Linked DNA regions of Lepisosteus oculatus. The protein of the gene in region 1 purifies or fractionates together with the protein of each later gene. This does not show direct contact. Links are inferred from orthologs where the notes say so. Each region holds a gene or a part of one and is shown on either strand. Other genes may lie near its edges.

Region 1 (16,574 bases):
TCTGAATGTTTATTCCAGACAAGTGCCATGATACAATATCTGAATTAGGATAGGCATATGTGATCCATAAATACAGTAGGGTCTCAAACTTAATATTCAGAAATTTAAGTTTGCTTATTCGCATTTCAGTCTGCCAATACTGTCTTGGGTGGAAGAAGAGCAGAGTGGGATGAAACTGAGCTGAAGAAGTTAAGTGTAACCTTCTAATTAGCTGCACAACAGACTAAGATTGTGAGACGAACCTACAGTACCTAGTGAGTAGGCCTTTCCCCTTTTCAAGTACGCACTACCCAGCACCTGCATCTCAACATGGTCTTGTTTTTGTATTCAAACAGATGCAACCAGTTTTGCTTCGGCTGTAAGGTGTGCTAATAATGGGGGTAGAGAGAGAAAGTGCAGATATCTGCTGGACGCAGAGTAGGGATTAATGTTGTTTATTTCAGCTGATTAGTATAAGTTTGTGATAACTGTTCTTAAAGCTAATGTATTAGTACTTTAATTATCATAAAAGAGAGGGTTAATTATGCCTTTTAACCATACATAATGTAGTATATTATGCAACAGTATAGGGGTAGACTTGGTTATATATGAATTTGGCTTATGAATGTCGAGACCCTACTGTATATCTATTTAATTTTTGTATATAGGCATGTATGTCAAATGTATAATTTTAGTAACAGTATTATGTTCAGGATTTATCATTATTATTTCATAATTTAATTTATCATTGATCATTTAATAAACACCACCTTGTGTGATGTATGAAACTGCATATTGGGAATATGGGTTTTCATGACATAATGATTATTTTGTTACAGTGTTTCGGTTGGTAGATTAAAAGCAGAACTGTGATGACACATTTTTCCATTGCAAAACACGTCTTGAATGATCTCAGCAAAAAGAGAAGTGAAAGCTAGACAACATTTTCAGCAGTGGTACACTCCCATTCCAATTACAAAGTACTAAACTCACCATTAACAGAAATCTTAACGCTGGCTTTCTCGCTCCCAAACTCGTTCACAGCTTCACACTCATACAGGCCAGTGTCTTCCAGTCGTGCTGAGCTCAGGGTAAAAGAGCCATCGCTGGACTCCAGGAGCTGCTGCTCATTCTGGGTCTCTTTGCGCAGAAAGAGCCGCGCTGCTGAGGTGCTGTGTGTAGAGCAGGTGATGGTCACTCTGTCCCCTTCCTTCAGCTCTCCAGATGGGTCCACCATGATGGATGTGTTCTTAGGGGGCACTGTAAAAAAGAACCCACAACAATTATTGCTGTGCAGCCTGGCCACAGCTGTGGGGTTACAGCTACTGTAACTACCACTATCATCATTAATAATAATAATAATCTACAAAGAAATTCAGACAAGACAAATAATATCAGCTAGTTAACAAAAATTACTCAGCTGATTCATAAAGCAAAGTTTAATAAAGTAATATTTCAAACATCAAAAGTTTAAAGCTACCTCCTGCCAGTTGCTGAATTTCAGATTGACTTAGTAGCCAGGCAGGGGCCTGAGCAATTCTGATGCTCGGCTTGTGGTGCTGCATTGATATTTCCTGGAGTAAATCTAAACCTAAGTTATGGCAAAGCCCTCAGGGATGGGTCTCTTGGATTGGCAGAATGCTGTGTTTCTGGACATCAGTCCAATTTCAGTGAATACTGGTCACTCACCCTGCACAACTAGAGATATCAGAGCAGACTTTGTCTTCTGGTGGTTGGGGATGCCTTCCAAGTTCAAGTATGCCTTGCAGAATATTTGCTTTCCATTGTGTTCTGGACGAACAACAAATGTGTACTTGGAGGTAAAGATCTCAGTGTCAGTGCCATAGTACCGGTCCTCTGAAGAAAGCACCTCCTTGCCTTCCAGCCATTGAAGCTGCAGAATGTTTGCTGGGAAAGCATCATGCACAGTGCAGGTAAGAGTGACTTCTTCTCCTTCCTGAAAGGGCCTGTTGCCTTCAATGACGGGGTTGCTAGGAAGAGCTGCAAAGAGATAAACACCATAAACCCTCAGAGATGAAGTCAGCAAGAGCATTCATAGACAAGCTGTCATCAGACTACTCCAGAGCCTGCTGTGGCAAAGATATCCTGTCTCCATATAGTATGAAGCTGTCCGGCCAAATCACAGAATGTCTTGACATTTTCTTGATTAAAATGTGGTACTGGACATTACAGAACCAGCAACGCATATTTCTTTCATTATTTGTAAGTGTTGCATTTATTTCCAGATCCAGAACCTTTAAGCGTAAACCAAAGTTTGGTATGCAGTGCTGTGGGGGAGCTTTAGCCATTTGTGAAATGCTAATGTGTTCTGCATTAATGGCAAGAGCAATAACAATAATCATCACTTTAATTTTAGATTAAATCCAATTAATTCATTTCAGATAGAGAGTTTATTATATATCAAAATCCTCCTGTGTATGATACACAGAGCAATATCCTAAAAAGTCTGCCTGGAGAAAAACAAATGTCCCTTTGGAGAAAATAAGCTTACACTCAGCTGTATGGCTAACCACCTGATCACTAACAAGAGGAAAAACTCATGATGTTTAAGCACATCATTTGTGACAGAGTGTTCCTTTGGGCACCAGTTTGGTGTAGTGGGGAGGGCCCTGAACTACAGACTAGGAGGTCAAGGGTTTGTACAACTGTTGGCCAGATCCTTCACTTCAGTGATTTCTCTGCTCTGTTGGTGGTCATTTCAAATGAATATTTCCTCTTGAGTCTCCTATCAGGTTAAAAAAATGGATATTAAAAAACACTTACAGTAGATCTTTATGTGAATGGACCTGGTCTTCCAGGCTGACCCGCATTGCACCTTGCAGCTGTAGGTCACTTCATCCTCTATTGCCTTGGTGTCAAGGAAGAGATTGGACTGGTGGTCCTTAATCTCAATCTGTCCGTCCAGAGGCTTGTCTATCACGTGTTTCCATGTGAAGTCTGGAGAAGGGCAGCCCTGCGCCTGGCAGGTCAGGACCAGGGAGGATCCCCTCTCCACTATGAGGTCTCCCTCTGGGGGGCTCAGCTGCACCTCCAGGGGATGTGCTGGTGAGAGGACAGATGAAGATGTCACGGTTTGACCAGATGTAGTCAGTACCCCTTCAAATCTCTCAAGTCTCTAATTACAGTGCAGCATTTCAGGAAAGAACATACACAAGTTAATAGCACAAAATAACTTTGCGCCTTGAATGTAATGCATGGTTAAAAGCTACAAAATGCCACCTGAAAACAGAAAGAACTAACATTGTTCAGTTTTAAAGGTTAACAATCATATTTTCTCCTTGTGGCCATAGGCGTGGTTGCTATTCTTCTTTGACATTGTGGATATCGGTTACTGGCATACATCTAAAAATGAGGAGTTTAGTGTAGCAGAGATAGTTCATCTTTAAGTCACTTAAGGCTAAAAAGATTAATTTCCTTTCACTAACCCAAGGCTGCGCTCAGCTGTGTGATTGTAGTATTATAGTCGCTGGCAGCTGAGCTAATAATAGTCATTAAACACATCTATCATATCAAAATTCTCAAAGGAATGCAGGACCCATTGTGAGCCCCCGCCTCTCTCTTACCTCCAGCCCAAACCATAAACCACAAGCTCAGAGCGAAGAAAAACTTCGATGCCATTGCAGTACTCAAGATGCCTTAGTTTTGTATGAAACCCACAAGAAGTGTTTATTCTGTGTTGTTCAGCCTTAGTAAGCCACTATGCCCTTAAGCCACTGCTCTGCCTTTTTAACGTGAGCCAGGGGACGGAATTTCTGAGCAAAAATGTCACCAGCTCCCTGGGGGGGATGTTCTGTTCGTTACAGAGGGAAATTCCCCCTTTTTTACTGGTCCCTGTTGCCTCTGTCACCTCCCCCTTTAACTCTTAGTAGAATGACCCGAGGCTCCTACTTTACATTTTGCATCAAAACAGGTCGATGTGACCCGTAAAAAAAGTGAATGAATGACACTAGTCCACTTATCGGAAGACTGTCTGATGTTGACACTCAATACTGAAGCTATCCGATAGAGACCCTTCACTTAATATTTTAAGCTCCTCCTTCCTCAGATGGTGCTGTGTGTTTCAGATACCCAGTCTCAGACTGAGAGCCAGCAGATTTGAATAGTCCAACAAACAGGCTGAGGCCGACGCATTTAACCTGAAAACCCAATCTGCAGCTTATTTTGGAGAAGGTACATACTGTCTATTAAGTCAATGAGAGGAAAATATGATCTCTTTGCTGTCCATTCATTACCTCTCAGGTATAAAGAAGTATTGCATACCATTAATAGTACTGAAAACAGCTGTAATAGAAGTAGTAGTAGCTACAATAAAAAAAAAATGCTGTGGTACTCACCTTCAACAGACACATTAACGCTGGCTTTCTCGCTTCCAAACTCGTTCACAGCTTCACACTCATACAGGCCAGTGTCTTCCAGTCGTGCTGAGCTCAGGGTAAAAGAGCCATCGCTGGACTCCAAGAGCTGCTGCTCATTCTGGGTCACTTTGCGCAGAAAGAGCCACGCTGCTGAGGTGCTGTGTGTAGAGCAGGTGATGGTCACTCTGTCCCCTTCCTTCAGCTCCCCAGATGGGTCCACCGTGATGGATGTGTTCTTAGGGGGCACTGCAAACCAAGCATTGGGCTTTTCATCAGCACTTTTAATCACCAAAGCAATGCGCTAATAAACCAAAGCCAAACCCTGACACTTCAGAAACCACACAGGTCAAAAATATGATGAACCAAGGTGGGTGTTTAAGCTTAACAAAAAGCACAGGGCATGGGAACTCTGGACTCTGAAAAGGATAAGGTTGTAGTCACGAGGAGGGTGTGTGAAAGTGGCAGTGTGGCTCAAAGACAAACAACTGCCAGCTCTCAGGAACCACTTCAAAACCGTTCATTCAGAGAAACACTCAAACCAAGGCTTCTGGCCATGTGTGTTGGCAAAAGCTCTTTCACTGAACCCCTCAGTGTTGCCAGGCTGTGTGTTTCTTCCCCAACCACATAAACAAATCTGACACAAAGCCCAGCCCGCTTTGTGAAAGATACAGCATTAAGAAATGACAACACAGAGACAGCCCCCAAAAAGGAAAGATCCCCACTTGATTAACATCACCAGTTAATAAGTATGAAACAGTAAAACTTTGTGTGCTGTGAATGTACTGTACGTCAATCCCAGTGCTCATCCAAAAACTAATAACAACTGAATTGCAATCCATGTGTTTTTTCCCTTCACTGAAAACAGAATTAGATTACAGATACATTATGAAGAGCTAACTACTTTAATTTATGGGATTGAAACTACATTTATGACTGCATAATAACCACATTGGTGAAAATGTTAAGCTTAATTTTAACTTTGTTAAAACTGAATGCTATAATTAAATAGAAACCAGAGATCTGACACTGACTGATTCATGCTTCGTTAAAGCATTTTAAGTAATTAAATACCAACAGTGATAATTTAGAGAGGGGAAAACTACTGAATCTGTTGCTCTGGAACTTAAAACTACAGCAGGAACTCTCCCCCAGTGAAGACATATCTAAAGAGAAATCATGGCTTTAAGTATCTAATACTTTTGTGGGCATTGAAGTCATTTCCAACATAAATGGTTTCTAACAGCAGCGAAAGAAACATTAAAAAGTGCTACTAGCTGCACCAGTGAAAACGTCCAGCTAATGTATCTTCATTTCCCTAATCACACTTTCATATGTCTCTTTTCTGAGCTTGGTCAGATCTTAAAAATACATTAGGCTTAACTGTTTAACATATTTAGGATGAAAACACAACAGTTTTCAGGCTTTGTAAAGACACTAGACTGTTCTTCTCACCCTGGACTGTGATGGTAATTGTTCTGGTGTCTGTTCCCACAGCATTGCTCGCCTGGCATTCGTACTCTCCACTGTGGATACCCTGCGCCTGCTCAATAGAGAGAGTCCCGCTGTCCGATAGTGGTCCCTGGCCGCCCGGCCCCAGCTTCCTCCACCTCAGGTTGGCCGGGAGATCACTCTGGGCTTCACACAGAAGCGTCAGATTCTGCCCTTCTCTCACAGTGGAATCAGGAGTGCTTAAAACCCGAATAATCTTTGGCGCTCCTGTGAAAATAACAGCAAAAAATGCAGTCTTAATTTGATGCTTTATTGTGTGCGACATAGTGATGGAGAATACTGGAAAGTGTATTTGGTAGTGTTAGACCTTTACAAATGCACTATGCACGATACAGATCCCCTCTGTCTTCTGATACACTCTTCATTTCTTTTATTCCTTTATTCATTTTTCCTTTTTTTAAAAATTGTATAATGTTAGCATGCCCACAGGGGTTGGGCAGCCAGTTGACCTTGAACCCATAGAGTTTTGTTTTCTCCTTACTCAGGAGTTTTTGGTTCTTCTCATCTGTTTTCTTCTGGTCTTTTCTGTTCTGTATTCACAACATATATAGTATGGTCACTTGTTTTATTAAGCGCCTTGGGGCAACCTTGTTGTGAAAGGCGCTTTATAAAAATAAATTGAATGCTGTAGCCCTTGATTCTTAATTCTTAATGTCTAATATGAAAGGCCTAATAGAAACTGCCTTTGAAGAGCTGGTTTCAAGTGGACAGCAGCCTCCTTTCTTTAGAGTTGTCTGTTTTGCTGTTGTATAGCCATAAATGGTGTTGCAGCATGGAGAACTACAGGTCGGTCTTTAGAATGTGACTTACTCTGCAACTGTAACGTGGCGACTGTTTCCTTGGTAGCCTGATCTTCTGGTAGTCCCTCTACTTCCAGACGGGCTCTGCATGTCACCTGTTTCCCATCGTCTCCAGCTGTTGGCTTGAAGGTGTGAATCAAGGTGACAGTATGGGTAGCTGGACTATGGATTCCATAATCTGTACTAATAACGTTTTCCCCAAATAGCCACTGAATTTCCATTTTCTCGGCTGGGTAGACATCAGGGACCTGACAGGTGAGCGTAGTTGATTGGTTTTCCAGTAAATGTCCATTCCCTGAAATACTTGGGCTGCTAGGAAAAGCTGGAAAAATATAATTCAGTATAAATATAAAATCAATTTGTATAGTAGACTCTTCTATCCTAGGCTACCTATTTATCGCAATTTGTCACTTGTGGGTAATGGGAGGATGAAAATCGATTAGTGCCTGATCAGAGAGACATGGGAATATATCAGTGACAACCTACTGAAACACGAAAAATAATTTAAATATTTCACATAAATATAGCGTCTGATCTGAAATAACAGAAAAAAATGACACTCGGTCATAGATGTCAAGCAGTATAAAGGCTACCGTTAAATGTACTCTTACGTGTTTTGACCTGTGCAAAGGGATTGAAGCCGATTTTAAAGGAAATCTGCTTACATTTACACAAAAAGACAAGTTAACGGTTTAAAGCTAAATTATCACGTATCAATACTTGAATTGGGAACAGCGTACAACGAAAGAAGCATTAAGCACTTACAATATACATTGACTTTTGTCGACTGTTGTTTGCTCTTACTCCCGCACTTTACTTTGCACACGATTGTGTTTTCATGCTCTGTCTTCACCGGAGACAGTATCGCCAGGGACTGAGAGTCGCTATTCTGAATCTTCGCGTACAGAGGTTTGTCTTCCAGCGAACCCCAGGTGAACTGGGCTCCGAGACAGTTCGCACTGCAGTTCAGAACCAGGTCGGAGCCCACAATTGCCAATGGATTAGAAGGTTGCAGTTTAATATTAAACGAAAATCCTGTTCAGAAAACAAGCAAACGTATGAATACAATATTAACATTAAATCCTGCGTAGTATTCCCATTAAATTATTTTATTAAAATATAGTATAAAGCACACTAGGGCTAAATCACATTTAAGTGCATAGCATATGCATACTTGCTAAATATACACCCGCTTTTGTCAGGCGTAGCAGAATTATTAGCTTATAATAGTGTAGAAAATAAGCATTTTTCAGTCTTTTATTCTGTTTCTCCATTACTGCACGTAAATGTGCCCAATGTACGTTCGCATATCGACGAATAATTCTACTTACCTCTCTGCGCGATCAAAAGGATCGAAATAAATTTAATTAATGCCATTACGAGAAGTTTTAATGTGCTAAGATTCCAAAACGAGGTGCAATCAAACGTGTTACGATGTGGATATCAATGCCGCTCTTTCCACTCCCTGTTCTTCTGGTGTGGGTTTGTAGAACTGTTGCTGGGCTTATTTATAGGGATTAAAGGGGATTCCATTGAAAATAAAAAAAGAATCATTAACACTCCCTCAAAATACCAGACGTGTCACGCATGAATTCCCCTAAAGAAATTTCGTCTGTCCATCGCTCCCCCTTCCGTACGCTGCCGGAATATACACAGTTCCAGGCTTTTGCAGGCTGAGACAATGGGCACAGACGAACACAGACGGCTGAAACAATTAGCCAAGCTATCACACACAGCCTGGCACAGAAAGCTGCAAACCCGTCCGAAAGAAGTGGTATCCCGCTTTGCAGCCTTCAATTAGGCTTTTTCGCAGTTCTTGTTTGTGAATACCACTGAAGACGACGCGACAGCAATCCAAGCTGGAGTTTCCTAAACAGATGCAAACGGGATATCATTCTTCTCACTTATTTCTCATCCTTATTAAAATGAAAATCCAGTTACTTTGTATTAATAAGACAAGCATCATCCTCACTACATAGGCAGATAGCTCAAGCTCCGCTTGCGCTGATCTTTCACTGTGGCGTGCTCGATACTGTATGTCATATTTTTAGTTGTAATAATTAAGTATGCTTTAACTTACTTTTAAAAATAAATTAAATTTGTTATTGTCACAAAATCACAGTGATGTGGGGCCAGTATTTTAAACATTCAACTTGTGGAATAGTGCTTGTCAGAAATTTTTGATTTTTGCAGAGCTAAATGTTGCAAGCTACACCATTATTCTATAAAAGCACTAAAACACATTCAGTCCAGACTGGCAGCCTCACAAAGGAGGGAGGGAGGCTGTTTTCCCTTTCTTTGTGAGTGGGAGTGAATGTGCTTGGATCTGCTTTCTCTGTGACCTCAACCAGTTCCACTGAACCATTAATTAGCAAACACAACGAAGAGGCAGAGCTTCAGCTCTTACCTATTTATAAAATAGCAGGGATTTCTAATTTCTAAAATAAAAATGTAACACCTTCCTCTAAAATGGGAAAACCCAGCCTTTTATTATAGCACATAGGACTTTGATAATTTCTGCCTTTGTCTAAAATGCTGGAAAAGAAGAGCTAATAATGCAAAACAAATGCTTTGAGTTCCCTGTCATATAAAACAGAAGGAAGACTCCCAAAGAGATGCTCACAGGGCTAACGTCAACACTGTCCATCAGACACATTGGAAAGAGGAAGGGATACAAATATTGGTTGTAGGAAGAGATACAAGTGAAATAACAGAGAGGTGCATTTAAAACCAAAAACAAGAGGTAGGTTTTAACATAGTTGTTGGTGTTTTGAAAAAAACACCCAGCCATGTTGTCAAAGTTGATACTCTGGATTCTTTCAGGAAGTTTCTAGGTGAAATCCTTGGATCAGTTAGCTACTATATTAGTAGCTTAATAAGCTTGACGCCCCAAAGTGCCTCGTCTTGTTTAGAACCCTTCCCAGGAATCACAGTTACATGGTTCTTCTGATTTATGTTGGTCTATGATCCAGGACAGCAGAATTAAAACATCACAAGAGAAACACTGAATCATATAAATTAAGAACAGTAACATGTCTTCTGTAAGTCTGCCTCTTCTCTGCTTGTATGGGCATAGTGCTGTTCTGTAGTGAAGACTACTGGCCTGGACTTTTACTGGCATTTGAGGTCTTTGATGTCACTTATCAGCCTCCAACATTTGAGGTAAGGGATATTTACAGTATACTGAAGTAAGAGGCACTTGACAATGTCTGATAATCCTTCCTCCAAGAGCAATGACATACTCCTGTACATGTAAGTGTCAAATAAAGTATGTAAAAAATTCAAGACAAGCAAGAGTGGAATGGGATGAAATTAAACGTTTGAAGTTCTGTTTCATTCTCTCTGTCTTGTAATTTGCATGACAAGGAAACCAATCCATGGCTATTAAGAATTATTAAATTGAAGAGCATGTATCCCCTTCCCACTATTATTCATGTTTGAATTCATGGAACAATCATCTCCTAGCAGCATTTAGCAGTGTATATTTATTTCACAATTAACTTGATAGACGTTTTAGAAACTGATGCCAAGACAATGCATTAAGACAATTGCTCTGTGTTTACATTATTTAACTGTAAATCTTATCACTTTGCTCAGTTTGATAGAGTGATATGAAGTTATTAGAACACTTGGGCTTAATATTTTTTCAGAAAGGCCTCTAGGGCTGGCAGGAAAACAGGGAGCGTGTTCATGATGCACTGGTGTTCGGGGGAGGTGTGGCCGAGGCAAACAGTCCAAGGGAGTCTGAGACAAATCCATAGGTGTAGCAAAAGCCGGAGCGGGATCCGGCGGAGGGTAGGGGAAATAAAAGGGGGGTCACGGGACCAGATGCTCCCTAATCCCGGACTCAGAAGGTCAGGACGCCATGATGAAGCCTGTGCCGTCGAGTCGCTCCTGGACTTGCGGATAGGCGGGCTTCCGGGGGTCCATCTTCCAAAGCTGAGCCCAGATTGGCAGGAACGTCTGGCTTTTATAGCACGGGGGCTGGAATTTTTCTGATACAAAATTTGCAGCAAAATCATATCTCCATTTTTGCAGCGGAATTCTTTATTACTTATCCCCATTGTTCTGACTATTACAGTAAAGTACAGTACAGACTCAATTTCAAATCTCCTCCATCTCAATCTATTCAAAGCATCAAGTGACACTACTCCCTCTGTGTAAAAGCTGTGTGTTTCAAAGGATTTTAACACTATATTACCTAGGGCAAAAAATGTCATCTGGAAAGATCTGCTCTAAACACCTGGAGGAGTACATAGACAGAACCTGGAGTGTTATGCGCCAAGGCATGTTAATATAGTACAGGTATGTAAATTCTACAAAATTGTAATTTTCCTGAATTGATGTTAATTCAATCTTCAAGCAACTTTCTCCATTTTCCTTTGAATATGTCTAGAGTGTTTAACTAGATTATATGCAGAGGAGGAAAAATGGTTTCGTGCCACTGTTCCATTGGTCTGGAAGCCTTTCAGGGGATTTGATGACCCATCTGATGACATTTAATGGTGTTCTTGGCAAGGGAGACCAAGTGTAATATGTCATCTCTCCCCCCCCCCAAAATTATCATCCAGCAAGGCTGTCGTATCCAAAATTCAGTCAGTTCTTAAGACATCTCAACAATAATGATGGGAATAAAGGAGAAATGAGTGGTGCCCCAAATTAGTCTCTACAAGTGAATAGTGTATAGTGAGGTTGTCTCAAGCACATGCAGCTGGGTTACACATTTATACTGTACATGGAAGCAACTTTCGGTGATGTACATGCCCAATCATGAAAGGTTTGGAGAAGTGAGAAAGCTGGTTGTGTGTTGTCTGGCTGTGCTACAAGGAGCAGCACAGGCGTGTGAGCAGTGAAAAGTGAAACTGCAAATTTGAGAAAAAGACTGCTGTCTGGCATCAGTGGACATTGTAGTGTTTTGTCCAGCAGCCATTACACTGATGTTTTTTGCAGTGTCACAGTTTCCTCAGTTAGGCTTTAGGTCCATTTGACAAATAGATAAATATTAGACAAAATATTAGACATAGACAAAATAGAGAAATAGATAACTATATACCTGCTGCCCACCACCAAAGCAGAATTACAGAGATCCATTATGAAAGCATCACTGCCATTGTCACAAGCACCAACCAGCGGAGAGCTAACCAGTACCAGCAGCTGGTTAATAATAACAAGCGCCGCCGCATGTGTTAATCCATCAGCACACGCTCTACCGTGCGGCAAGCAGCACTATTTAAACCATCCTAACCCGCTTCCCTCTGCTTGAGTCTACTCGTTGAGAGCTCTACGTGGCGTTTTCTGTACCTCGTATTATTTTGGATTCTGGACTTCCCTTTTGCCTTTCGACTTTGGACCTCGCCTCTCATCTCAGATTGTTTGCCACCAGTGTACTTCCCGGATTTCGACCTACATTACGCCTTTTGACCGTGACCTCGCCTCTTGTTTCAGATGGTTTACTTCAATTGTACTTCATGGATTCTGAATCACCTTTTTCCTTTGGACCACAAACTCGCCTTACATATTGGATTGTTCACCTGCCTTGACATCTTCCTACTCCGGCATCTGCACAGGATCTGTATACCTATTCATTGAGGATTCCTGACAGCCATTACGCAAACAGCTGGGGAGAGTAAGAGAAGAAAGGCTCATGAGTGTGTCAGTGTTTCACCATGGGCTGTGTGATGAGCTACAGCTTTCAGCACTGCTCACTGCTAGTCCTCCTTTGCTGTTGGTTGGGTAGCTCGACATTCAAAATGACTCATTATGGAGCCTCTTTCCGCACTGCTCAGTATTGCTGTAGCTTGTTATATCATGACTCTATGATTAATCTCCATTTCAGTACAGCACATTGCAGGAAGGAACTGCAGTAAAGAAGTACTACAACAGAATTTACCTGCTCCAAGCAGGGAAGTTTGACCTGGACCTGACACATCTAGCAAGGCCAGATAGTGCAGATAATGCCATCGCTCAGTGAGGGCACGTGAGTCTGGAAAGAAAGCACTCAAAAAGATTTGCTATTTTCGGAGTGGCTTTGGCTCAGCATCAAAGATGAGCCAGGCACTCTTTCTTGATATGAGTGAGGGCTGTTCTGCAAAGTCTGTACAGGGCAGCTGTCTGGAATGTGAATAAAACTGGACATGTTCTGTGTGAAGAGTGTCAGGGACATGTTGGATGGGAAGCAGCTTGCTTGTGGTACATTCTGTCAGCTGCTGGACAGACAGATGTCAATACATTTTTTACTAACTTTAATGTCTGTAAACAGTAAAACAACTCTTAGTCCGGATCGCGGTCACCGAGGACCATTCCTGTCTCCCCAGATGACACTTTTTATTTTTAAGATAAACGCGAGATAAACAACGTTTGTTTGAAACCGCTCCACAAATTTTCTCACATGCACGTATTCTCAAATATCACCACAACAAAACCATAAAGTTTGTTTCCACAGACATGACACTATTATGCAATAAACCAATAAAGTAATGAACTAGCAGAATCCCAATAAAAACACACGGCAACCCGGCAAGCACAGCATGTCAATATCATACATTTTTACCAACAAAACCGCAAAAGTAAAAACCAGCAAATATATATATATCCCATGTTTTTACCTTATTCTGGAGCATGATATATATCCAAAACAACCCAGACTAGTTTTTCTCAAGAGCTAGAGACTAGTAAACGTTATTGATTACGTAGTAAATGTCTGAAGAACGAAATAAGGTGATTTGATTGGTCAAAACCGCTGTCATTCATTTATTTTCAGCCATTCAGAGCCCTTAGGGGGTGAGACCCTCTAGAAGCTTCAGGTTGCATTTTTAGCTGTCAATCATTGACTCAGAAGGGGTAATCAATCAGTTTTTTATCAGTTTCTTATCAGTGCTCCTTTTTTTCACACCAGAAGGCAACTCTGAGGTTTTTTTTTCATTGCGTAACAGCAGATAAAGGCTCTCTAGCAGTGTCTTAAGGTTTTTATAGCAATTGCAATGGTTTTTATTCTTATTATTTTCAATATTTTTATGATTTTTTATTATAGGCATGAAATTTCATTCCAGGTCCAGTCTTCACAAAACATGATGTAGAATTTTTTCTAATTGATCAATTTGTCCCAAATTTTTATCCAAGCTAGTAGCCACCTAGAACAAGGTTTTCAAATCATTCCCAGGCCCTTGACATGCATATAGTTGAAAAATCTGACCTCTGAAGACCCAAAAAAAATGTTTGCCAGCTGTTTTTTTGTTTTTGTTTTTTCATATGTTTGTCTGCAGAGTGGACACATTAAGAAATATAAGAAATTTGACTATTCACACTCAAGGCCAAGGCGGTTAGCTTCAATTTAAGACCTGAACCAGGCTCCTGCTATGTTCTGCTGCAGAGATATAACAAATGTTTAAGGTGGGGAAATTCCAGGCGGACATTGGCTAAATATGTCACTGGTAGTAACAGGTTAATAACTAATATTTATCTGCCTTATCATTTTATCATCTCAGTGCCAAGTACTACATTTCAGATTGGCTGTTACATTCAAAGAAGTGGCTATTTATAATGACCATACTTTATTCAACCTTTAACTAATTTTATGAGTATGTGTTTGTTACTGTCCACCCTATAGCTACTTCTATTTGCATGCTTTCAAAATATTTTTTTTCTTTTTCTTTTTATAGTGACTCATAGGTTATTAAAGTCTCATTAGAAAAGCCATTGGGAATTGCTCATTCCTCAGTTATGCCCAGAGAAACTAATTTAAAAAATGTTTAGATGTACTGTACACAGACATTATTCTGTTTTTTTAATTAATGTGTTCTGTGATACCAGTGTTGGGTGTATTGCAAATTTCATCTCAAGATTTCATACACTGCTTCCTTTGAGCTTGTCCTTGGTTGTTGTAGCTAACCGCTTGATCAAAGGTTTTTTAATCACATTTTAGTTTCATTATGCGTATAAAAACCAACAACAATGTGGGAGAGAACAAAGTTTGTATTAAAGGCAGAGTTAAAATACATTTGGGAACTTTCAAACCCTTTTTTTTTGCTCAGCAAAATTTCCTCTGGACATCCTGAAAGTCTGAATAAAAACAACTTTCATTTTGTTAGCACATCCTAAGAATACAATTCCAATAGCCAAAGAGGAAACTTTAAGTTTCTTTTTCCAAGTATTTCATGTTGCAGACAAAATTATAATCAATGACCATTAGCCACTTACCCGGAATTGTATTTATGAAACTTGTTGATAACATTGATAACAACTGTTTTCCAAATGCAGAGGTTTTGATTTGAAACAATGCATTGTTTGGTGAGAGGACAAGCAGAGTGAGATTTGCAATACCACAAGAACGCTTTGATAATCATTGTGTTGAAAATTACCTGTGCTGTCAATAAAAACATATCCAAACCATACCGCTTTTAAATTTGCAGTCTTCTCGAATTCTTTTTTTTCAATAACAAAAAGGACCAAAACTTAACAAAAACTTTTATGCAACTTCAGAAGCAGTAGATGTATCCTTATCCATTAGGTTAAGCTATTCAGGAAAAACCCTTAAGCACAGGATTTTCCTGAAATCCATTATGTATTGTTTTGTTTACCATTTTTAGACACGGCACGCAGAAAGCATCCCAAAACAAATCATTCAAAATACAGCATTACATTCTGACATTTGTGGTCATGGAAATATGGGGTTTAAAGGACTGTGCAGATGGATTTGAAGTGATAAATGAAGAGTTTGAATGAAGAGTGCTCTGAAAATGATCCGGAAAGGTAACACAGAGGAAGAGATACTGGATTGTGGCCTCTGAAAATGTGTAGGAGATCCTACATTTCTAAAAATGGGAACATTGATTGAATAACAAAGTATGAGCAGTGCACATTAAGAATTGAAAGAGGCCCAGAGGTGACATCTGGGAAGGTTTATGATACATAGAAATTGAAAGTTGAGTTACTTAAATACAAACTGTACAGATACGACTGAGTGGATCATGTTAGATTTTGGCTCCAAATGGAACCAAGTCTCCTAAAAAAAAATGATGGTGTTGACTACTGGGTACAGATCACAGAATGGTACTGAGTGAATGATACTGAAAAGATTCATGGGGCCAGGAAGTCACACAATTTCTTTATCACCTCAAATAGCGTGCAGTTGGCAACCAGTTACTGTAAGTAGCACTGAGGTGCTGTGTAGGAAACAGGGCCTTGAGGATAGATAGTGACCCTGAGAGACATCATGCATAGTATAATTTAGTTTAAGAGCTCACATTAAATCAGAGTGGAAACAGGGATAGTGACAAAATGGAGATGGACTATGAAAATATTGAAAATATTCCTCTGATATACCCCAGAGATTCCTGAGGCTTAGGGCTGTTGCCACAAGTTAAGTCTTTCATCCCACTGTTTTGAACATGTATAGTAAGAGTGAAGATTGTGTTGCATAGAGGAAAGGTAGAAGTAGGAGAGACAGAGATCTATTCTAACAGTATACAGTGCCTTGCGAAAGTATTCGGCCCCCTTGAACTTTTCAACCTTTTGCCACATTTCAGGCTTCAAACATAAAGATATAAATTTTTTATTTTATGTGAAGAACCACCAACAAGTGGGACACAATTGTGAAGTGGAACGAAATCTATTGGATTTTTGAAACTTTTTTAACTAATAAAAAAATGAAAAGTGGGGCGTGCAAAATTATTCGGCCCCCTTGCGTTAATACTTTGTAGAGCCACCTTTTGCTGCGATTACAGCTGCAAGTCTCTTGGGGTATGTCTCTATCAGTTTTGCACATCGAGAGACTGAAATTCTTGCCCATTCTTCCTTGCAAAACAGCTCGAGCTCAGTGAGGTTGGATGGAGAGCGTTTGTGAACAGCAGTTTTCAGCTCTTTCCACAGATTCTCGATTGGATTCAGGTCTGGACTTTGACTTGGCCATTCA
Region 2 (15,611 bases), on another chromosome or scaffold:
GGCCACTTTTCGCAGAAGCCACTTAACCCACCAGTGCAGTATGTTTTTGGGCTGTGGGAAAAACACCGGAGCACCCACAGGAAACCCAAGTGCACTTGGTGTGAACATACAAACTCCATGCAGACATCATCCCAAATCCAGAATTGAACCCAGGGGTCTAGTGCTGTGAGGCAGCAATGCTAACTACTGCATCGCTATGCCACCTCATGTTCAGTACATACAGTAGATAAATTATTATTATTTATTATTTTAGCCAGCACCCATATCACCCTGCAACCCACAACTGGTAACCCACTGAAGCTCAGCAGGTGTGAGTACCTGGCTGGGAGACCTCCTAGGAAAACCTAAGTTTGCTGCTGGAAGAGGTGTTAGTGGGGCCAGCAGGGGATGCTTACCCTGAGGCCTATGTGGGACCTAATGCCCCAGTTTAGTGACAGGGGCACTATACTGTAAAAAGGGGCTGTCCTTTGGATGATCCTTTGGATGAGACTTAAAACTGGGGCCCTGACTCTCTGTGGTCATTAAAAATCCCAGGGCATTTCTCGAAAAGAGTAGGGGTGTAACCCTGGTGTCCTGGCCAAATTTCCCATTAGCCCTTACCAATCATGGTCTCCTAATAATCCCCATCTATACTGTGGTGCTTGGAATGTTTTGAATTTCTGCATACATTTTACCTAAAATTTGATCAGATCTTCATCTAAGTAAAAACTAGAGAACCCAATAAAACAAATAACACACAAAAGGATATACTTTTTCATACATTTATTGATCAAAATGATCCAACATTAAATGTCTAGCACCACTGTAGCTGATGTGTGGTGAGTGTTCTGGCGCACTATGGCTGCCGTCGCATCTTCCAGGTGGATGCTGCACATTGGTGGTCGTGGAGGGGAGTCCCCATTACCTGTAAAATGCTTTGAGTGGAGTGTCCAGAAAAGCACTATATAAGTGTAAGCAATTATTATTATTATTTCAGTCTTCAGTATATTTTCTATATAGTTTTAATATAGAGCTGCAATATAGTTTATACCACTAAAACAATTTAGGAAGTGTGAGCATGTCATGTATGGTATTCACACACTGACATGTTTAACATAAATGCATTCTTGCTACCACAGCTAAATATCACAACCTTATTTTTGTATTTCTGATGGCTTTAGATTTTTCAACACCCTCTTAGCAATAAACAGTTGTGCTGCAACTACATTGTAGACTGCATCTATGAAAAAATCCCATTGTCCTCAACAACACCAATCTAAGGAAAATGAAATTAATGTAATCTGTGTCATCTTTTATTTAACAACAAATTTCCTGATGATTAATATATAAATATTTTTTTTATGTACAGTAAATATCCTGAACAATAAATTATTTGAAGACATTTCACAAAGGTCCCAACATTCAATACTGAAAGATTTCCACAATAAGCATGGTATTTATAAAAAATATTAAACAAATATAAAATATTTTATTACACAATGGAATACATCTGTAGTGTATGATTAAGCAAATGATTTACAATTACATTCTTAAATGCCAATAATAAAGTCAAACCAAGCTCCAGGAGGGACAGTTACTCGAATCCTATGCTGAACTTTCATGGAATTCATGGAAAGCCTACTGAAAGATCAAGGAGCAAAAGGGATTGTTCCTTTCTGTGATGTAAATCTGATTTTTTTAGTTGTAGACTCAGAACTAACCAATGTCATGGTACTTTTAAAATTTCAATAACAGGAAATGTTTAAGAGTTTACTCTGGCTGACTCTGTCACAGGGTGATTTTTAACTTCCTGGCCAATATCTGCTTCCCCTGATTAAAATAAGCACATGGCAAATGAACAAAATGGACAGAAACTTTATTAAAAATGGTGAGCAAAAGTATATTGTTTAATTATTGTTTGAAAGGGAGAGGCACAAACTAAATCATCACATAGACTCTTAAAGATAACCTGAGAAATTCAAAGAGGGCCATCAATTTATTGTTACAACACAACAGTAAACTTGTTACATTTCATTATTTGTAACATTTCAATGATGACTATATTCAAACTCATATTGACCATTTTTGATTTGCCTCCAGAAGTAGAATTTCTCTAAATCTGTTTAATATGAAATAGTATTCTATCTTCATGTAGATGTCTTCATGTCTTCAGTTTACATTGCTGTAAAATCATTAGGTCCTTCCTGATATAAAATACTGAATCTCTAGATGTTCTAGCATAATGTATATTAAAAGCTACTATTTTGACCATGAAACCTTAATTGTTTCCCCTCAGTTGCCCCAAAATTCAAAATTGCAGCAATTATTAAAGTTTTTCAATCCTGGCAAGGAAAGATGCAAAGTTCCTGAGGTAAGTCAAAATCTTCAGTACTGTATCTCATATTCTTTAATATACATTATGCTGATAAAATTAAATACTTGAATAGCAGATGAAACATTTTCTGGTTGTACAGTGTCAAAGAAGGCCTGGGTATACTGAAATAAAAAGGCCATTTTCCCCACTCAACACATGAAGCTCAGTCTTCTTCAGTTGATACGGTAGCATAACCCAGTGGTTCTCAAACTTTTTGGACCAAGTACCACCCCTGATCAAACCAAAGCATCCAAGTACAACCTACCGTACAAAATCATCTTCTCAGAGAAACCCCAGAAAATCTAAATGACCAACATGAGTGTGGGTGCATGCACAAACTCACATACACATATAATAATTATTATAATAAACTTTATTTGATATAGCACAACAATTAAAAATAAAGAATAAAAAAAACACCATTTCAGTGAGAGGGGTGAGCCTGTTTAGTCGAGCAAAGCAGATGTGAATTCATTCATCGAGCCTTGATACAATTCACCGCAGAGTCTAACAGATTTTAAAACCTCAGGCATTTTCTTGACGGCCAAGGCCTCGCGGTGGATGCTGCAGTGCGTCTACTTCATATCTAGAGCAACCTCTCTAATTCATGCAACTACACCGCTGTGTAGGCTTGTCATCGATTTGGGGGCAGTAGGTCGAGCTGTTTAGCAGCTTTTTCTCCACATACTGTATAATACGTGTCAGCTCTTTTGCCAATGGTAAACAAAGTTCTTCACAAGTATGTTGGACTTACCTGCTTTAGCAATCCACAAGCTTGCATTTTTCCCCGTTTCAATCTCAGAAGTTAAAAAGTTTTTATTTCATGCGCATGGGAGCGAAACACAGAGAAGCTCGGTGTATTTTCTCAAATTAATTTAGAACAGTTCTTAAATATGTTTCTGTTATCTATCACGCTTTCCTGTGCTCACAAGATTGCCAGAATTCGTAGCACACATTTCTAAGCTTTCCTGTGCTTACAACAATGGCATTGTTCCAAAATCACGCACATTCTCCTACCTCCCTATTTGCTGGAGATAACTTTTCTTAAATACAATTGGCAGCTTTCGTTCGTAGCACGCATTCCTATACAATGGTATAGAATTACATAGTAGCTCTTGTGTCCACTCAAGTATTAGCACGGGCTGTATCGTAGTACGTAGGCCCAAACTAATTTTATTAAAATAGAAAATATGAAAACCGATCCTAATTTTTCAGTGCACACAACAAAGTTCTGGGATCATATGGTGTACCCCCTGGCAGCGCTCCGGGCACCACAACTGGTACAAGTACCACAGTTTGAGAACCACTGGCAAAACCTATCAACAGGAACTGAGAATGTAACACTTTTGACCTGACCTTTCATTGTCTCGCTGATGACTGGCATATACTGCATTACTGTGAAACTGTGTAAGAGGTGTAATATAATTAGATACATTACATGAATTACATTAACTACAATCTAAAAAAAGTTTTCATGTTTGTACATTTACAAACTGAGGTGAAGCTGCCGAGGTGGTACTTCATAAAAATGTTCACATGAGGAGGAAGTACTCAAAATTTGTTGTTTTACCAGTTTCTGTTTTGTTTGTAATTTTAACAAGTACACCAGATAATTCAGAAAGGGTCAAAGCTGGGTAAAGTAGTTCAAGTTTAAACATAAGACCCCAACAAAATAAGAAATAATTAAAGAAACATGTCTACCTAAATTCTAATAACTTCCCTTCTCATTTTCTTATGTCTGTAAAAGTCTCTTTGAAGACAGGACAGACTTGTTTAATATATTTTGTTGTTTTCTGTGCTTGAATACCGTTTTAAACTGTTGTTAAATCAAATTATCGTAATATTTTAAAATAACACAATACAAAGAGGTGAAGTGCTTTTGTTCCATTTTACATTACTTGCATGAACAATTTTCAAGGTATATTCATTACTGGGTATGTGTTGTGTATTGTCTTCCAATTATCTAACCGAAAGTTGACAATACAAAGTAGCCAAAGAGCTAATTACAAAGTGCTTTTTCTTTTCTCAGTAGTGCTATGTTGTGATGTACAGACGAAACTAAACGTTTCAAGTCACACCCATTATTTCCTGTATATTTTTCTGTTTTAATGTTGCGTCCTTTTCTCTTTTGTTTAGAAACATAAATATGAAAGATGACAGGACCATAGCTACAAAAAAGGCAAATAAAATGTTCAGAAGAACAGAAGAATTGAAACAACATGCCAGACTAATATTTCAGTTATTTCATCCTAGCCCTTATTTGTAACCACAAAGCTGCCTACGTACAAACAGGATATTGAAGTCCACAAATAAAGTTATGTTTTAGAACAAAAATATAAATGATCACTACTTTGAAAACTTTGGGGGCATTAAATTCATGGTAATTGTTATGCTTTTCTTGCACATCTGGTTTGATAATGACCAATGGCCACATTTTATTGTTGCAAAAATAGTGTTGTTTTTTTGTTTAGAACTGTGGATTTTAATTCGTTGGTGAATCCATTGAAAATACACGCAGGAGTACTATTAATGAAAAAAAAGAAAAGAAATTCTAACTGTCATTTGGTGTCTCTCGTGGCAGGGCAAACGATAATTAATGTCGACATACTTTCCAGCATTCAAATAAAGAACTAGAACTGGAATATGTTTGGCGATTTTTGTACGTACCATGCGGAGTAAAAGTAGGTTAGGGCATCCCTCATTTAACTCCTCGGAAACTTTAAGAATTCCTTTTCTCGTTTGGGGGGGTTTGACAAGGGCATTGATGAAATACGGGTCATTGAAAACACAGGCGGGGTCTATGTGCAAACTCAACTTGTATGTCTTCATTTTGCCTGGGTGTGGTTTTCAGACATTAGAGTTCCGTTAGCAGGAAATCAAACTCTAGACTCATTCAGAGCTGCAAGAAACACACAGCAGTCACAAATAAGTAAAAAAAAAGAAAAGTTCCTTCAAAATCGTTTTTATTCTGTAAACTGGTTAACGGTAACTTCTCAGGGCTGTATCCGGTTTTGCTTTAGTCGTGCATGTGGCAGCTGCTGGAAAAAAGTTTTGATTCTGAAAAAGTTTCGATTGTATCGTACATTTCCTAAAGGCTTGTTATCTGGCTCCAAACTAGAGTGAAAAGATGCCGAAAACGGTGAGTACCCGACGATTTACATTTTAACTTAATTTAAATGATTATACGTCATAGTGCTGTGTTACAAATGGAAAAATGATAATACTGTATCGAATCTTGGTTCACGGTAATGGGAAAAAGACGCTGGGTTTAATATAAATTAATTCAATCCGTTTTTACCCACAATTAATGCATTTGTGAATCAGGATAGCATTTGATTATTAGAAATCTAAGTGAAACGTAAAATATTCTAGTGTTAAAAAACGATAAGATCTAGGATAACGTTTTTTTATTTTCTTATTTTTCCAACTAATGTGCACGCTGATTATCGTGAAATGTTGTCTTGTGTGAGCTGAGCTATTTCAGTAACAACTTAGTGATTTTTATATTTATCAAGCAGCTCCAAGTTCATTGCAATGCGGTACAAGTTAGTTGCGTATGCCTCAAACAGTTATTCTGTATCGACCTATGTGCCTTAAAGAATCCGTTTTTCTGTTATGTGATTGGCCAGGAAAGAGAGCTTCTTGAAAATTGAATGGTCTGGGTTGCGTCTATTCTTCCAGCCTAGGCCTGCGGCGTTCATATTTTATACAAGCTCTTGTACATTGCAATTTCCTGTGTGAAACGTTGTAATCCAGATCATTCATCTATTTTAAATATCTATACCTACTTCTACAGAGAACCACAAAATAAAGTGCAGAGTATTTCTGACCAAGATCCCCGGTAATTTGCTAAACTTTAGGCGTGGTTGTCGTCTGTGCACATGAATTGCATGGCCTTCAAACTGTACAAAGGCAATAGTTATGGATTTTTTTCTATTCTGTGCTTATTCTGTATTTAACATTTAAATTGATAATCTTGTTGATGAAAATATTAATAGTAGAGGTACCTTTCACATACCATGTATCAGTTTATCAATGAAAAGTACATATTTATCAATTAATCAAAAGAATTAACTTAATGCTATGCTTTTATTTGTGGAGGTTCTCTTGAAAGCTTCTAGCCCTGTAAAAATAAATCAGTTTGTCACTGTGCAAATAGCAGTTTGGCAAGATGAAACTGAGCTATTGACTAATAAATATTCTATATGATTACTGTATTACCTAGTCTGGCACATTTACCTGTTGTATGGGAGTCAGCTAGATTTTTTTAAACAAGAATTTAGTCTTATTCGCATCAGAACACAATCTTTGGTCCAGTTATTTTTTTTTGTCCTTTAGTAGTGTAATTTTTCCTTCTAATACTAATTACCTATGCTGATGTCCACATACTCTGATTGATGAAGACAACTTGATGCTAGGCACTGCAATGGCACAAAACTGCAGCAAAATAGACCAGGTCTCTTTTCTTTTGAATGGAAGAAACGTCTATACCATATAATCCCATGAGACAAGCTCATTTTTTTGTCAGACTCATCTGACATGCTCTTTGAAATGTGAAAATTTCCTATCTGAAATTCTTACTATCTGGAGGCTGGCATCACTGAGAATATTAATTTAGCTCCTTCCAGGCATTAGTGCTCTTCTTACATTATCTGCTTTGCTTTCCATGCACAACTCTGGCCACAGTGTCTGTGAAGTGTTGTTCCACCTCTACATTTAATGATCCTAAATACCAAATTAACATGTTGCAAGGTCTTCAACCGATAGCAATTTATAGCTAGAAAGCTAGAAAGCCTACAGGGTTGTGGGTCTCAAAATTGTAAAACCTGGTCAGAAAGGTAAAGTACACCCTGCTGAATACAAATGAGACATCAACACACATACAGATACCAGGTTAACTTCTGACCTGGATTTCCTCTCTGAAAAGCAACAAAAAAACCTTTTTGTCACAGGATTTTGAATAGCAGAATCTGTAGGTTTGTGGTATTACTGACTGCTTTTCTTTTTATTGCTCTATGTTTCAAAGTTTGCGTTATGATGCTTTTGTAAATACATTTTGAGGTGACAGAGAGGGCAAGAAAATGTTTGAGATGAAAAAACTAACATTTCCACATACTGTAAGTTTTGTTTCTATGTGCATAATACTGTATAGATATTTAATTAGGGGTGTTGCTTTATTTTTCATAAAATGTGTATTTTCATCATTGGGGTACTTTTTTCTGGCTAAAATGGTGTAGTTGTACAGCTTACTTTTGTGGTACTACCACAGATTGTAATTAAATTCCTTCTAAATCCTTGTTGGCATTGGTTCAGCTTCCCAAGGAACTGCAGTGAAATGACTCAAAGCTTCCGGTCCTACGTCAGCTCCCTGTAGACTCTTTCCTGGCTTCCAGTCACTTGACACTGCCTCTGACAGCCTTATTTGGGGATTTAGAAAGCTAGACTCCCCCTCTGCCACTGCATCAGAAAGCTCTGTAGTTATTTCCTTATCTCATCACCACCATTAAATGTCTGCGCTGCTTTTTTCATTGCTTTGTGTAAAAAAACAACACATGGCCCCCACCTCAAGTTCTCTGTAGTTCACACTGTTACTCACTGTCTAAGCTTTATGAAAATACTGAAAGGCTGAAATGAGGTAATGGTGGGAAATTCCATGCTTTGGGGTGAACTCAGCTGTCTAATTATAGCAAGCTTGTCAAAGGGAATTGAAAGTCAGGGGTCATTTTCAACAAATTATTTTTGACAAAAGCTACATTACTTTTAGATAATCTCTGCTCTTTTCTAAAGTTTCATTTGAGATTTTTTTCTTTTCGTAATGATAATGATTCCCTCCTGATTGTGATGTGTATGATACATGAAAAATTTAATACCAAACTGGTTTCCAGGCCTTTGGGTTTCTGAGCAGAGTTTTCCAGGAATCACTTATACCAGTTCATACAAGTTTTCCTAAGAAGTCATTCTTTAGAGACTTAGACCTAGCATTACTTTACATGACTGATCGCCATGTGATTAGATAACACTTTAAAGTTATATCGGTGCGACATAATGTAGAAAATATGATTGATTTATTTATGATAAGAATTCACAGACACTCATAGATAATAACAACATTGAGCAGAATAGAGATTGTATGTATACAAATGTTATTTTCTTTCTTTTTAGAAAAATAATTTTAGAAAAAATACTTTACTAATACAGGTTTATGTCTGATTTTTATTAGGTAAATCCAAGTTTTTTTGCTGAGAAAATTCCATGAACCTTCCATTTAAATCTTATTCTTTTTCATGTGAACGAACATTTGAATTTATAACTTTAGAAACCATATCCTTTTTAACTTTTGGTTTCTAGGTTTGATCATAGGCCCGAGAGACTATGTGGGTTTGCATGTTCTGCCTGATTGCTTGGGTTTTCTCTAGATGCAGGGGTTTACCCCCTCCCCCTACAAATATGCTTGCTGCCTTTGATAAGCAATTCTAAATTGTTCCTTTCTACCTGACCCTGCAACGGATTGGTGCTCAATCCAGGTTGAGAACTGTCATGTGTTTTTGGTCTCGGTGTTTGGTCTTTGGCTTGCCCCTTGTGTTTCCTGGATAGGCTATCACCCTCATCCAGACAAGCTGCCTTTTGATAACTGATTAATGGAGAAAAAATGTCAATTTTTGGAATTCTTGTAGTTTCTCTTACAGCTGGAGCAAGTCAGTTTTTTAAAATCCTATAATCTTGTCTGATTTCCAAGTTAAAACTGAAGCAGGTTTGTACTTTGGATGTTTTTGATAACTAGATAGTTCTATATATTCCAGTTTATGAGGATGGTTTTGTTTACCACTGATTCAATGTAATATATCCTTTGGCTTAATTGCAAATAAGCAAGAAACTGAAATGCTAGGCAACAGAACCAACAAAATGAACTGATGTGGAAGGGCCACTGGTATGTAAGTAGGGGATTAGGTACCACTGGGAGTTTGAAAAGCAAAGCAGGGCTTAACAGTTTGTAATAAACTAAGCTACAGGTGGTCGCCAGTGTTTAAGGGTAAATTATGTGAACTATCCCAGACCTTTACTAAGAAGATTGGCAGCAGGAAGGCAGTTTGGAAATTTATCTTTCTGGCATTAAAAGCCCAACGAATGATTTGTGCATATGTTTCCAGCTGATTATTATTTTTTCAAAAACGTTTGATGGGGTGATGGGGATTTCTTCCATGTCTTAGAGCACGTGGCAAAGTGCGTACGATTAAGTTTGCTGCAAGTAAAATGAAGCCGTAGTGTACAGCTCTGCCATCTCTTGACTGCTATTTTTACCTGTTTGCCTTGTTTCTGAACTTTACAAAAGTGAGTAGGAAGATTAGTGTAAACTGAAGTTTGTTGACTGACAACTGTGCACAGGGTAGACGGAGATCTGCATGAGTTGAGTACGTCATCATGGGTTGGAGCTGTAGTGAAAAGGAGCACATGAGAAATGGAAAATATTTTGTAAGCAAGCATAGTACTGTACAATGTCATAGGTTGCTGAAGAGGATCTGAAAAGATTGCTCTGCAGTAGGCATAAGTTTAAAGGTTAACTGTCATCATGCTTTAGGTTTTTAAACAGTATTTGAGAGTTTTAAGTTAGCTTGTTCAATGTTACTAATGATCACTGATTTATTTTTATAGCCTTCATATTTGTGTTGTAAATGTGGCATGATTGAATTAGAAAGGAGCAATGGTGCTTGAGTTTTTCATGCAAATAATGGTTTGACCTAGCTTGATAAACTTTATTCAATGGCTGTCTTGTATAATAAGAGAAAAGAAAGCTTGAGCTTTGATGTCAAAGTGCAGGAACTTTTTTGTCTCATTTAAAAGACAATCCTACTGACTGATTGATGTTCCTCAAAATGCAAATTAACATAATTATGCCAATTGTGCACTATTTTTGTCATGTTTTCACTTAGAAGTATCTTGCTTGGTTTAGATATGCTTCCACTACTGTGTTTCTGTTGTAGTCAACATTTTAAATGTTCGAAATGTAAGTATTTCGATAGCACAGGAAGTAAGCTTCTGTTTTCAGGCCTCACTGGAAGTTTTGTAAGAGTTGCTGCTGGTATGTTACACTTTGATAAGGAAAGAGGCAAATTTGAAAGCTCTACCACTTCTTTGTCTAGGGTTAAAGTATTTTTCTAGTTGTGATTAATTTTCATGCTCACATACTGAATCATTTTTGAAGCACTTTATCAGTTACCAGGTTTACTGTATGCTCTTTTATTATCGTCGGAGTCGGTTTATGGTTTGAAACATCCAGAAATAAATGAACTGCATTCATCGCTGAGATGCTTGGAGATTTTGGAGGTGTAGGCTGGTGTTCTAAATAATGTCTGTCAGCTACATTCTTTCTAAAATACAACTCTCCCATTTCATACTTTTTCAGACCTATTTAGTTGTTGACCCTGTAAGTTGTTAGCCTACTGACACTGCCTTTATTGCTTTGGAGAAGCCAAAATGCTTATATGGGTGATTCATATATGTTATTACCCGAGAAACATACCTTTTAAATAGTATTAATGATGCAGATGAAATATAGAATTTGTTTATAGCTGGTTGTATTGAAGTATATTGCTAAGTGGTGGCACACTCTACAAACTAGCAACAAGGTTTCAGAAGTTTGCAGATTTGAGTCTGTTTTCTTGAGAAGGGATACAGGATATTTAGTTAAGGGGACTCAATTTAGACTTTAAAATACCAAAAAGGCCTAGGATTCTCTTTAAAGCACAAGGAACCCAAATGGTGAATTGTAGCCTAACTCTTAAAGGACACATTGTTAATCATTTTCTTTAACTCATGACTATTGTATCTTTATATAAAGAATTATGTCATAGGCTAGGTAATTAAGCAAGAACTGGGGGTCAACTACACTTTTTATAATAGAAAACAGAAAAAAAGTGTCTCCACCCTTGTTCAGCATAAAGCCCCCATTGGTGTGGTGAAAGGTGATTACTGTAAAAGGGAAAAACGGTATCTTGAGGAACCTGTGAATAATTCTTCTCTCAGCAATTGTGCTAATAATAGTATCTGGAAAACACCCTGATCACTAGCCTGGGCGAGACCCGCCCTTACCAGGCAGAACTGCTCATTCTTAGTTCCTTTTTAATTTGGAGATGAACTATTTTTACCAGAAACAGTCACTAGTGAAAAGGGTTTTGAAATGCGGCCAAAGAGCCGCTGGCTTCAGTAGCTAACGGAATTTCTCCCCTGACTATGAACAGCACAGAGTGTTCTTTGGTGCAGTTGCACGGGGTGGGTTTTCTGCATTACATCACAATTTAAAAAAGTTACCACTCCTTCAGCAGCAGGCTGAGTAGAAAAGCCACTGGAAACTGGGTTCAGAAACCAGTTCCTGGTTGGTAATTTGACATGGAAGGTTGCTTAGCTACAGATTTAAGTATGGGGATGTCCTACCAAGGTGTTTAAGCTAGAATTCTCATTCAGAAACAGTCAGAGGGAGTTGCTTTTTCAGCACATCTTTTTGTGGATTGGGGTTCAATGATCGGGTATGATTTCATATATGAATGTGGAACGTATAATTTTCCTATTACGTTGATTTCTTTGAATTTCTAGTTTAGAATTTAACCATTACAATGGCACACATTGTTTTTGGAGAATCTTTGAACCAATATACAGTAGTATTATGTTATTTTCAGGAATCTTTGACTGGAGAGTTTATATAGTTTCATGTATACTACTTATGAACTGACCTTATTTCAATTAACACTACTTAATCCAATTTCATGTTCTTGGGTAATTAAAGTAACGTGTAATATACAGAGCTGTCATTTTAATTTGGGTAGTTTTTCCAATAAGAAATTTCATATATGCGCATTAAATTTATAGAAGGATTAAGCAAGAAATGGCAATCATTATTCAAACAGATTTTGTAAGTTTTAAGGTTTCTAGCTCAACCTCAGTTTGTATTTTTATACTAATTTAAACACTTGTTTCATTTTCTCATACAGCATTTTTATAGGAAGAACTTATATCTAAAACTATACAAATTATGTTCTTTCATTTACAACCAAAAGATTTCTGAAACATACAGTATAAGCACTATTGAATTATGAAGATTTACCTGCTAGTTTAAAAAAAGATATGTTTTAGTTTGTATTGCAATATTCTTGAATTTTATCATCCCAGGATATAAGATTAGTTTTGTAGATGTAAGCCAACCCTGGTATTTGTGCTGCTTTTTCAAAGTGTTTTTACCCCCTCCCTTTTGTTAAAATGATTTTTACCCCCGTGTTGGACTATGATTTTCCGAGAACCCATAAGAACCCATCACAATGGAATAAATAAATATAAATTGTTACAGCTACTAAAAGGTGGTGAACCAAAAAAAGAAGAAAATTATGCCCCCAAATCTTAATTTTCAGTTTTTTAAGGCACTACTAAGGAACCAGATTGTTCTTCTGAGGGCTTCTCCAAGGGCTGGTGGTAGAATACCAGTAGTTGCTTACAGTTGCAAGGCCTTGAGATACTGTGGGCCCCACCCTGTAGACCTGCAGTCTTCGTTACACTGTTGGTGATGACAGGAAGTGGCATTGCGACAAGTACAGAGCATAGGCTGCTGATACATGAGGGAAAGAACGCAACCATTATCTGCCATGCAGCTGTGAAAAAATGCAAGCCTTTGTGACTCTCAGGCTGTCGGTTTCAGTTATTTTTCATATTTATGCAAATTAATAGTGTACTTGTATTCATTGTAGTGAGGACAGTGGACATACAAATTATTTCCAAATCTTCTTTTGGACACGGCTCCTATGGTGCAGAATGAAGGCAACCTTACTGCACAGCCATATAATGAGGAGTCAAAGTTTTTTTCCATTACTTTATGCCCATTCAGAAGAGCAGGACAGTGTATGTCCAAACAGTGCTAGAATTACAATGCCAGAATCTGAAGAAAATTCTGTAGGTCTTGCTGTGTATTAAGGTTCTGCTGGACCAAGCTCAGAAGAAACATCTGTGGGACCAAATTGTTAATGCCATTAACTGGTAGCAACCACAACTAGTCAGTCTTGGCCAACTTCTGTGCAGCTGTAACCAGAGTGGCAAAACATCCCATAGCAGTCTATCCAGGGGCTGATCATATGCATATGTCAGCACTACCAGGCTTTTTTATATGAAGGGAGGTCACACCTGGTAATGGTAATCCTTACATTTATATAGCACTTTTCTGGACACTCCATTAAAAGACTCCTCTTCACCAACACCAGTGTGGTAGCCCCCACCTGGATGATGCAACAGTAGCAAAAGTGCACCAGAATGCTTATCACTTATCAGCTCTCGGTGGGGAGGAGAACAGAGTAATAAAGCCAGTTCATAGATGGGGACTAGTAAAGGCCTGAGGGAAATTTGGCCATGACACTGGGGTTAACACACCCTACTCTTTTCAAGAAACACCCTTTATCAAAATGAAAACATTACAATTTGGCACATTGAAGACTAAAAATTGGTCATGATATTCCTGTTATCTAGATTTCTTCATGTATTCTGTGGTTATTTAAAATGCGAATAGGACAGCCAGATCAGACAAGGAGGCAGCTCTTGTCTCGACTATATTCTCCAGAAAGCTGCAGGAAATGACCTGCTGCCCAGTCAACTAATCAATTGGTGTAAGACCTTTGGTTGGACAAGATTAAAAAAACAGGATGTAGAGGTTTACAGGTCCATCTGTTGGACATTACTCTCCTCTTGGACAGCATATAGAGTCACTATTATGTAGCTCCACCACAGGGAGAGTCTTTCTGAGCGTTGGATTTTATAATTTTGAAGTATGTGTTTTTGAAAGGGTTTTGAAAAGCAATTTAGCTGCCCGTTTTTTTATGATAGAGAATGATAAGATGGAGTTATGTTATGTTATGATAGAGAATCTAGTTAGCAGCTCAAAGAAAAGCTTAAGTTTTTTTTGTGTGATTTTGATCATTTCATCACTGTAAAATAAAAATCACGATTTTTACCTTTGTATATTTATTTTCCTGGGATGTAAAGATCACTTCAACACCACTTCTGAGTGTATTACAAACCACATGACCACAGCATTTAAATGAAATACCTGTTTTACATATTTACAAATTTTCTGTTGTAGCTATCCCTGACATTCAAAATTGTTTTACAGCTTTCAGCTCCTTACCTAATATGTAAGCAAGTGGAATCTGTAAAATATTGATAATCTATATAACAGTAAGTATAAAATTTTTAACCATTAGCAGCCGTGTAATACACGTGTTGACAAAATGGGTTATACAAGGTCCAAAGAACTGAATCTATTCTAGTGCTGCCTGCCATTATTGTGTAAATAAACAAGTTAAGATAGACTGATGGTGCTGCTGCCATGTTTTATTTTAGGTTCTAGGTTTTGATAGCAGAATAGGGAGCTTTATTGAAGAGTTTACATGTTCTCCCCATCTCCATGTGGGTTTTCTCCCAACCCCAAGAGGCATGCTGGTTAGGTTAATTGGTTTGTCTGATTTGTATCTGTATCTGTGTGGATGGACTGATCCCACTTTGCTCCACTTTGAAATGGTCCTTTCTTGGATTATGTGGATTTTCATATAATGTTTAGTTCGGTGGTGAGGTTCAGTAGTTATGTCTGAAGTGTGATTTTACTTGTTTGTTTTTTTAGTATTGATTAAACTTCACAGTTTACTTTTAAAATTTTCAGTCACATTTTGACTGAAATTCCGAGCCCAAACCCCTGAACATCATGAAATAGCTTTTATTTTAAAATGTAAAGTACATATTAAGATTAAATTAAGAAATTAAATTGTCTGTTTTCCTGAATATTTGAACAAATACTTCAATAATCAATTTTAATAGCATACTAACTATTGAACTTTTCAGTTGTATAGCTAGTTTATTCTGAAATGAAGCCATCTACATTTTTATCCAGCATTTTGCTTTAATTTTATATTAATGCATGCATTTCCCTCTAAGTACTTTCACTCCCATAACACCACTCATGTTTATCACCTGTTTCAGTTCCTAGCCAAGATTTTACAGCTAGTTAGGGGGGACCGTATAAACTTTAGCACTTTTTTCATGTTGTCAATTATAACTCCATCACTCTTTGATTATTGCTAAGACGGTTAGCACAGAACTGTAATGATTTTAAAGGGGGGAAAATGAGTTAATACCTTAAAGTGAATGTATTTCCTGAATATAACGGAAAAGCAGGAAAAGCAGAACTGCATCTGTTGCAGGGCTACAGGAGTTTAGCCAATCAGTACTTTGCTTG

What was found.
Region 2: the proteins of vcam1b (region 1) and msna purify together in Homo sapiens (affinity purification with western blotting; 3 studies listed by BioGRID, with this or other methods). This does not show direct contact. The link is inferred for Lepisosteus oculatus from reciprocal best matches to the Homo sapiens genes VCAM1 and MSN.

What each region holds. Positions count from the first base shown.
Region 1 is NC_090704.1:19,634,183-19,650,756, forward strand, and holds the start of vcam1b (vascular cell adhesion protein 1b), read right to left. Parts: upstream 8,307-16,574; 5' UTR 8,042-8,306; coding exon 7,996-8,041; intron 7,700-7,995; coding exon 7,430-7,699; intron 6,987-7,429; coding exon 6,675-6,986; intron 6,072-6,674; coding exon 5,808-6,071; intron 4,602-5,807; coding exon 4,335-4,601; intron 3,043-4,334; coding exon 2,764-3,042; intron 1,981-2,763; coding exon 1,669-1,980; intron 1,240-1,668; coding exon 973-1,239; intron 1-972. UniProt on the Homo sapiens protein: Cell adhesion glycoprotein predominantly expressed on the surface of endothelial cells that plays an important role in immune surveillance and inflammation.
Region 2 is NC_090703.1:43,070,080-43,085,690, forward strand, and holds the start of msna (moesin a), read left to right. Parts: upstream 1-5,170; 5' UTR 5,171-5,480; coding exon 5,481-5,492; intron 5,493-11,854; exon of another isoform or gene 11,855-11,874; intron 11,875-15,611. UniProt on the Homo sapiens protein: Ezrin-radixin-moesin (ERM) family protein that connects the actin cytoskeleton to the plasma membrane and thereby regulates the structure and function of specific domains of the cell cortex.